Solanum lycopersicum: one gene and its partner. The protein of the gene in region 1 interacts with the protein of each later gene in a pairwise test. Links are inferred from orthologs where the notes say so. Each region holds a gene or a part of one and is shown on either strand. Other genes may lie near its edges.

What was found.
Region 2: the proteins of 187-kDa microtubule-associated protein AIR9 (region 1) and kinesin-like protein KIN-14E interact in binary tests that used the Arabidopsis thaliana proteins (3 or more experiments, as listed by UniProt). The link is inferred for Solanum lycopersicum from reciprocal best matches to the Arabidopsis thaliana genes AIR9 and ZWI.

Annotation. Positions count from the first base shown.
Region 1 is NC_090801.1:56,226,477-56,230,765, forward strand, and holds the start of 187-kDa microtubule-associated protein AIR9, read left to right. Parts: upstream 1-1,222; 5' UTR 1,223-1,498; intron 1,499-2,101; 5' UTR 2,102-2,129; coding exon 2,130-3,032; intron 3,033-4,289. UniProt on the Arabidopsis thaliana protein: Microtubule-associated protein that may be involved in the maturation of cell plates and proper insertion of cross-walls after cytokinesis.
Region 2 is NC_090801.1:54,456,510-54,460,945, forward strand, and holds the start of kinesin-like protein KIN-14E, read right to left. Parts: upstream 2,920-4,436; 5' UTR 2,618-2,919; exon of another isoform or gene 2,596-2,617; intron 2,138-2,595; 5' UTR 2,045-2,137; coding exon 1,899-2,044; intron 1,757-1,898; coding exon 1,684-1,756; intron 1,516-1,683; coding exon 1,384-1,515; intron 1,299-1,383; coding exon 1,060-1,298; intron 942-1,059; coding exon 614-941; intron 1-613. UniProt on the Arabidopsis thaliana protein: Minus-end microtubule-dependent motor protein involved in the regulation of cell division and trichome morphogenesis through microtubules bundling. Possesses basal and microtubule-stimulated ATPase activities.

The DNA of each region.
Region 1 (4,289 bases):
AAATTTAAATGATATTTATTTCGTACACAAAATTACGTAGAAAACTAGAAATTGCCTAAGGTATATAATTATGCACGATCTAGTCATATATTTTGATGTATGTTTGTTTACTTGCCCTTAATTGCCATTTTACCTTCTATTGCAAATTAAAACTAGACATGAAAAAATCTTAATTTGATCTTTAGGACACAATTGAGGTTGCAAGTATTAGGGAGATTTATTTTTTACACCTTTTTTTAATTATCATTTCAAATTTAGTATTATTTGCACAAGGAGTATTTAATACAAGAATTATTGTACTCTATTATTTTATTTCACATCCAATGTAGCATAAGAATATGATTAGATACATAGACAAACTATTCAAATGATAAAATTGTCCTTTATTCAAAATCAATTTTGTTATGCACTTAGGCATTTAGAAAGTTATAATTGAACCATGGATCATTCAATTTAAAATCATATACACATTTGTATGTATCATATATTCCAATTTTAGGCCAATATACCAAACTTTCAACATGAATTGCAGGTAGAATGAATAACACTACAATTATTAATTTATGTATTATGAAATTTATAGTTCATAAAGTTTAATAGTTTAATGTATATATCGAAAATTAAGAGACTGATATGATTTAGACATATAAAGAGATAAACACATAGTATATTCCAATGAGAAAATGCGAGAAATTGACTATGATAAGTTAGAGAACAAACGAATATAATATGACTTTATTCAGGAGAGCAGGAAGGTCGAAGATCAATGGATAGTCGATCTTTGCCTACTTGAGAATAAACATGTTCTACAAAATGGACAATGTAAAAACTTGAATGTTCCCTTGGCATTATGTAATTCATAGTTCATAAAGTTTAACTTATGTATCGAAAATTAAGAGACTAATATGATTTAAACATATAAAGAGATCAAACACGTAATATATTCTAATGAAAAAGTGTAAAAAATTGACTATGATAAATTTAGAGAACAAATGAATATAATATGACTCTAGTCAAGAAAGTACGATGATCGAAGATCAATGAATAGTCGATCTTTGTCTACTTCGAGAATAAACTAAGTTCTAGAAAATGGATAATGTAAAAATTTGAATGTTCCCCCGGCATTACATGCTCGGTCACCTGCGTGCAGACAATGGTTGCGGATTTAAGGAAGAAAACAATTCTCATTGATATATATAATAATGTATGTAATTGTTATGTCTTTTTCCCGTTCCATATATTTCTCACCTGTCACCATTCTCATTGGTTCTCTCTCTCCTTATCAGCTTCAGTTACATTTACTCTCCCACTCTCTCTCCCACTTTACCTCGCTTTTTCTCACGCTTCGAAAACTCCCATATGGATTCTATACTACTACTATAGCGCCTTTTTCGTCTTCTTGCACCAAAAACCCTAAAGAAAAAGGAACAAAAATGGTTTAGGTAGTTGTTGAACTTCTTTTTTGCTATCTTCTTCACCAGATCTAGGCTTTAACTAGGTGCGTGTGGAAACCCAACTGTTTTCTTGGTCTTGTGGTGTTGGAATGGTGGAAAAAGTTTCTGATTTTTTTTTGCTCTAATGAAGCTGCATTCTTGACTTTCTTGTATTTTTGAGTGGGGTTGTTTTGGAGTATGGGAAAAGGTGCTATTTGGTTAAATGAAGCTGCATTATTGGTTTTTTTTTATTTTATTTTTTTTTTGGTTTGTTGTGAATTTTAGCTGCAAAGAAGCTGCTGTTTGGTTCATTTCAGTGGTGGGGTTTTGCTGAATTGTTCTGGAAATTGGAAAAGAAGTTCTTGAATTTTAGGCTGAAAAGCTGCATTCTTGCCTTTTTTGTTTCTCTGTTCTGAGTAGTGATTTACGGCTGGGTTTTAAGGGAATGTGACAGAAAGTGCTTGAATTTCAGCTAAAGAACAGCACTTTTGTGTTAGATTAGAGAATTGAGACTTTTTGATTCTATAATTTTTACTGTGCTTTCTTTGAATGTCGGTGCTGCTCTGCATAGTGCTTTGCCAGTACTTCTCTTTTCCACAAAGATGACGTCTTCTGTGCTAATTTAGCTTGCTTTATTTGTTTTGATCTTGACAATTTTAATTGGACAGATAATTGTTCTTGAAGAATTGGTTGCAAATGGATGACTCAGTTTTAAAATCCAATGAAGACTCAGTGGAGGAGAACCAAAGTCCAGAGATAATAGAGAAGCCATCTCCGCTGCAGGATTTGGTTGAACATCCACAAAGTTCAGAGTCACTAAAGCAATCATCAGCAGAGAGTGTGAAAAAATCAAGGACAGTGAGACCAAGTTTAACAACTCAAAATGGGGCAACAAATGCTGGGACTGTGAAGAAGCGAACTGGAATACCAGATGGCACTGATTTTACTCTCAGAGGTGTCAAGTCATCTCTGACAAAATCGACTGTTAGTAGCACTTCACGAATTTCAGGAACAACTCCAGTCACTAGAAGGAGTAGCACTGGCGGATTGCCTGACAAGCAGCCAATAGCAGTAACTAAACGAGCTAGTGGCAGTGTTGCTTCAGGTACAGCTAAAAAGACCAACTCTTTGGCAACAGATCCTATGCGGCGATCGCTTCCCGAAATGCGGAAAAGCACATTGCCATCAACCAGTACCAGAACTACTACTCGATCAAGTATTTCAGAGATCAGAAGATCAGTTCCCCTTTCACCCCTTGCAAAGACTCCAAGAGCATCAGTTAGTTCTGATGCAAGCAAAGAAGAATCTGTTAAGAAGACCTCAGCTAAATTATCATCGCCATCACTATCCTCTGCAAGGAGGAGTGCGTCTACATCGTTAGAGAGTACTGCTAGTAGTGGCTCAACTAGAAAGTTCTCCACGAAGTTGTCTTCTCCAGCTGCTCAGTCACCTTCTGTTTCCACGAAGGCTGGTTCATTGACAAAATCGTTCAACAGAAGCAGTAGTTCATTAAGCAGGAAGAAAGGGGGGACTCCTGAAGGTCGGGATTCACGCCTTATCATGCTTCCTCAAGTGGAAATCAAAGCTGGCGATGATGTGGTAATAACTTATGTCTCATTTCTTCATGTTGCAAAATTTAATTTAGTTGGTGTTAAATTGAAGATGAGTGAAAACAATAGTTCATTTTACCTCTCCTGAAGGTGGATAAATTACCTTTTCATATAAGCTGCTCCGCTAGTAACTTTTTCTTCTAAGGTGTTCTTTAAGAACAAACCTCATAGGTTTAAAGCAAAGCATTTAAGGTAAGGGTTATGACAAGCATGAAACAATATTATTGAAAGTGCTTAAATTGAGAGCTACTCAGTTCTCAAGCATCAAATCGATGGTTTTAATGCCAATGGTGAGGCATACATCTGTATTCCATTTTTAGAACCTTGGGCTGTGGGTGGACCTTATTAAAAAAAGATCCTTGTGCAGTGGCTTCCCATGCATTTACTAATCTTCATATCACATGCTTTATCTAAAGAATCCCAAACCTCCATCTCTATTTAGCTATTACAAAACTTTGGCTCACAAATTCCACTTATCTATATTGACTGGCTCTTCTACCTATCAATATAAATAGAATATGATTTTTGATGCTAAATATGCTTTTGAGTTATATGTTTTAAAGGAAAAGCTTTAAAGCACATACACAAGTGCACTCTATTTTCAATTGCTTTTGATGGAGTATATATTGAATTTCTTTTGCTTTGAATTATACCACTCACCTAAAAGCTTCTAAACATACAATAAGTTCATCTGATACCTTTTTTTTTTCCAAGGAGAGAAGGTTTTCCTTGATTGTCTTCTATTAACTTTTATGATTGTGGGTCTCTTCCCTTGTGGCAAGTAGTACATGATCTATTTGTTTGATCAGCTGTAAACTTGGACTGTTTATTTAGTTAAATGCTCTCAAATGTGATGTTTATTTTCTTGTTGATAGAAAAATGCTGCTCAGTCTATCTATTGATGACATTTCTCTGCCTATCAAAATACCTAGCAATACAAAGTCAACATCACTGTCACCGTATAGGTTAAGTAAACAATATATTCATGCAAGTATATATTGTGATTTCGGAAAATAAAATATATGCAAGAACACTTTGTATGTTCAAAAGAGAAGTTATTTGGATCTTTGTTAATAGTTTATGTTTTAGTTGAACTAGCTATCATTGCGAGAATTTTATGCTGGTAAGTATTCTTCATAATACACGAGCATATTTTGCAGATTTACTAACTAAAATAGTTCAATGCTAATCTTTTAACGCTGTTTGTGCTTTGTTCAGCATGATTACCTTGAAGGTCCATTTTGTT
Region 2 (4,436 bases), about 1.8 Mb from region 1:
CCTTAAGGTGTTGAGTTGTGTAAGTCCAAACTATTTAAGCTGTTGTAAATGAAGGCTTGCTATTACATCTTAAACTACATATCATCTATCAATTAGGTTTATTTTTCAAGGATATATATTTTTATGAGAATCATTTTACAAGGATGTTTCATTCAAGAAAACATTTGGAGATGCAGCATTATCTTACTCCCTCCTGCACACATTGTCGCCTCCCTCTTATAGTATCTTCAGAGCAGTGTTCACTTTCATGAACGAAGGAAAGATATGTCATATATAAAATAACCAAGAATTACAGTTATCCTACTTTTTACCATGCAACTTTTCTCATTATCATTAAAAAACCTGAATACCAAAGAAAAACTAATAAGCCCAACATAGTCCACATATAAATTAGAGATTTTCCAACTTTCATGTTAAGTTCATACTGAGTCAAACATGCCATTAGCTCTTGGATAGATAAGTGGAAAATAAAAACAAGGATATCCTAAATTATGTTTTGTTCTACCAAATTATAAATCCCATGTGTATTTCTTGTTTGTATAACTCAAACATTAGCATCTAATTTATGAAAAAAAGTTTGTTGTATATAAACTATATGGAAATTCAACAATACCTCAATAGCATCAGCAACGGTGGTTGCCATGTCATAGGTAATTTCCTCGAAGGTTTCATCCAAGAAAAACACTATTGTAGTAAGCTTTTTCCCAGTTAAATGAGCTTCGATCTCCTCACGACCAGGAATCGTGTGCCTAGGTCCAGCCTTAATCGAACGTTTCAGTGCATTTAGAGTATTTATAGCAAAAACTTGAACTTCGGAATCAGTATTAGTCCCATGTGCTACAGTATGAATATATTCTGACAAGTATCCACCAATTTCCTTGCTCGGAGGCATGCAAGATGCGCACAAGTACATCAGCTCCCATGCTTTAATCAAAGAATGCCTATATGTATGAAACAAGCATGTGAGGAACACTGTCAAGTTAAAAGCAACAGAATAAACAGAAAGAAGTGAATATCAGCTTCCCATTTCTCAATCAATATACTTGATGGTCAAAGTACCTCTCTGGATTATTCCTTGTTTGTTTTGAAATTTGTGCAAACATTTCATCTCGAAGCTCAGATCGCTTCAGGGCCTGCTTAAATAGCTTGCCAACGAGTTCAATCCGTTCATCAAAGCTAATTGGAGCCACTCTATCATAGGAATCAATACCCATATACTTCAGAATAGACTGAAATAATTTAACTGCCCTGCTAATGAGATCACCATTTATTTTCAAAATTGATGTTGGAATGGGTTCCTGTCAAGATGCAAGTTGTTTTTAGTCTGCAAGTGTCGAGAGATACATTTTCAAAAGTGTAAAGAGCTAAATAGCTTAATCTCACCCTTTGAAAACATAGCATATCCTCAAATGTAAATTTTTCTCGAACTTGCGGCCCAACAGATTTTTTCAGGAAGAACCCACGTTTGCTAGCAGAATGAATCTGTTTTTGCATAGCCTTCAAGAAACCTTCAACCTATAACCACAAAGAATCTATATTACCTCTCTGAAGTAGCAGCAAAGCATAATTGAGATCCACCATGTCGTTCTTAACAAAATTCAGAAAAGAAAAAAAGCCACTCCAATCTTTGTTGTGTGCATACAGACTGAAATGATTCTCTTTTTCTGCAAAGTCATCTCTTACCTGGAATCTGTCAATATATGGTATTGCACCAGCAAGTTCAGGTGACAGGACTGATGAGAGGGTGTTCGGAGTGCTGCACATTACATAAACGCAAAAAAGCAGTTGGTAACAATAAATTGTAAGGTAGGAGATATAGCATTAGATAACACCACCCATTTTCATCAAAGTATGAAATAAGATCAAAGAAGTAAATCTAATGGTCAAAGAAAGCTTACGGTGGAGCGAAATTAGAACCATCACTATCATAATCATCCCCATTTGAGGTTGGAAAGGAATAGTGTGAAGGTGTTTCATATCCATTGCTTGAGCCAAAAGATGACCTGCTTGACCTCATACTAACTGGTGGCATATCAGAAGTCATTTTCCAAAATTATAATCTCCGCTCTATACAGCTCTCAAAAAGACCATCCAACTCCTCAATTAAACGGTAATCTTCAATAACTTCAGCAGTTACCTAACCAATTTAGTAACACCATGATTACTAAAAATCAAAGAAGTCCAAAAACATATAACCCCCGCATTAAAGAAGAAGCCAATTTCAACAAATAGTCAACAGAAGTCCCAAACCAAAATCAACACTAAAAATCCAAACAGAATCACAAAAATACGATCAACATTGCACGATATGCTACAAAGCTCACAGAAAACTCATGAAAATCAGATAACTTAGCAAGCTCCCTAATTACCAGCAATGTTTTCTACTAATCAAGCACCAAAGAAATTACCCACCAAGATCCATGTACCCACAAGCACAGAACAGTATAAAATACTTTAAAAATTCGAACTTGGTAGTTCACATTGGTAAAAAAGACAATAAGTCGTAACCCAGTGCAGTAGATCGAGAAACCACAGTAACAAAACAGAAAAAACGCAAAACCCCATTTAACAAAACAGCATGGTATGAGGTGTAACTCATAATAAAACGCCTAAAAACCTCTGGGTTTGTGTTCTCTTGTTTTGGGGCTTCGTGTAGCTAAGCAAAAATGGTGTTCATAAGCTCAGAAATTAGAAATAGGAAATCTCAGAATATATGAGAATACGAAGAGGATATGATGAAACCCATTTTGAATTTCTGCTGAAAATGGAGCTTTACTTAGAAGAAAGATCGGTACCAGAGAGAGAAAGAGATGTTAATGGTGGAGTGAAGGAGGGAGAAAGAAGATGGTGTGAAGGTCACGAGAGTTTTTTAAATAATTTCAATTTCATACCTCTTTTTTTGGGTGACAAAATATAAAAGGAAAATAGGATAGGTTTATTTTGATAATTTAAATATAATTATTAATATTTTTAATTACTTTTGTTTTGCTTTCATCAGGTATTCGGTAACAATATTAGAGTCCCACTAAATTTAAATTCACATCGAGAAGTCTCATTTTAGGGTAAATCATTTCCTAACAAAGATGACTTTACATTCATAAAAATGAAAAAGTTACTTTATCACTTCATCACAACTCTTATTAATAATATTTTTAATTACTTCAATTTACTAAAGAGAAACTTATAATCCAATCCTAGATCCGCCACCGTGAGCACTAACGACATGCTCTTGTGCAACTGTTTGTCAACAAGTTTTTTTTTCCATTGCCACATCTTAAAAACATTGGTAGAACAATTAAAAGAAGGTAGACGTGTGTTCGGTGTGACAATTTGTCTCCTACTCTTTGGCATAATATGTGTGTCATTACTCTCATGAAGCGGTTAAAATAATACTTTTAATATTTGAAACCGTCTTTTGCCGTCTAATTCAAGATTAGCTACAAATATATTACAAATTCTACACAATTCATCATTTTGGGAGTGTAAAAATGGGAACTAAAACCACGAAAAAATTAGTCAAATATATTGTGGCACCATTTAAGGTGTTAGGCAAAGCTAGAGAATTCTACATGAAAACAATGTTTGATTGTGCTCAACAAGTTGGTCAAGGGGGAAGTGTCATGTCATGTACAATTTCTCATAGAAAACCTCAACAACTACCCAAGAGCACAGAGTTGAAGAATCAATCTACTTGGAGAAGTTATAGCACTGGGGTAGGAAGATTAGGAAGAATTGATGAAAACAAGCCTTGTGATTTTAACGAATCGGACGTTAATGACGTCATTTATCCAAGATCTAGAAGTCATTCTATCGTGAATAGAGGTCTTCGATTTAGAATTTAAGTTTTATGAGTTCAATAATTGAGGTCCTAACTATACTTTTTAATTTATTATATTTGTGATTTGTTTTGAGTAAAGCTCTACATGTATTTTTGGAGAATAGATAATTATGTAATTGGCTAAGTGCAATGGGAGACCTTTTATTCTCAACTTCTTTCTTTATACAATGGTTTTCTTCTTATTATATCAAGTATTATTTACACTCCAAATCTACTGCAAAATATTATTGCTTGCCAAAAGTCAGTTTTTTTTTCTTTTTGTTGTTGTCGTCAACTGTTTACACTTAATTTTGACCCTCCCCGATAGAAATTAATTCACAGGTTTCTTGAATTTCAAACAAGCTTGAAATAGTTAACTTTATAAAATTCTAAATGTTTTTCGAATCGTTTTAAAGTAACTTTAACCGATTTTCAATATTTTTAAGTGATACAATTTTTTTATATGTGTTTTATATAATTAGTTGATTTTTATTTTTATATACATTCGAGAATCTTCGCCAAAATTTTAATTTTACTTAACGTTTTACTAAATTATTGTTTGGTAAGTTGTAATTGGAGTTGTTTTTTTGTAAATCTCTATATGATTAGTTTATTTTTA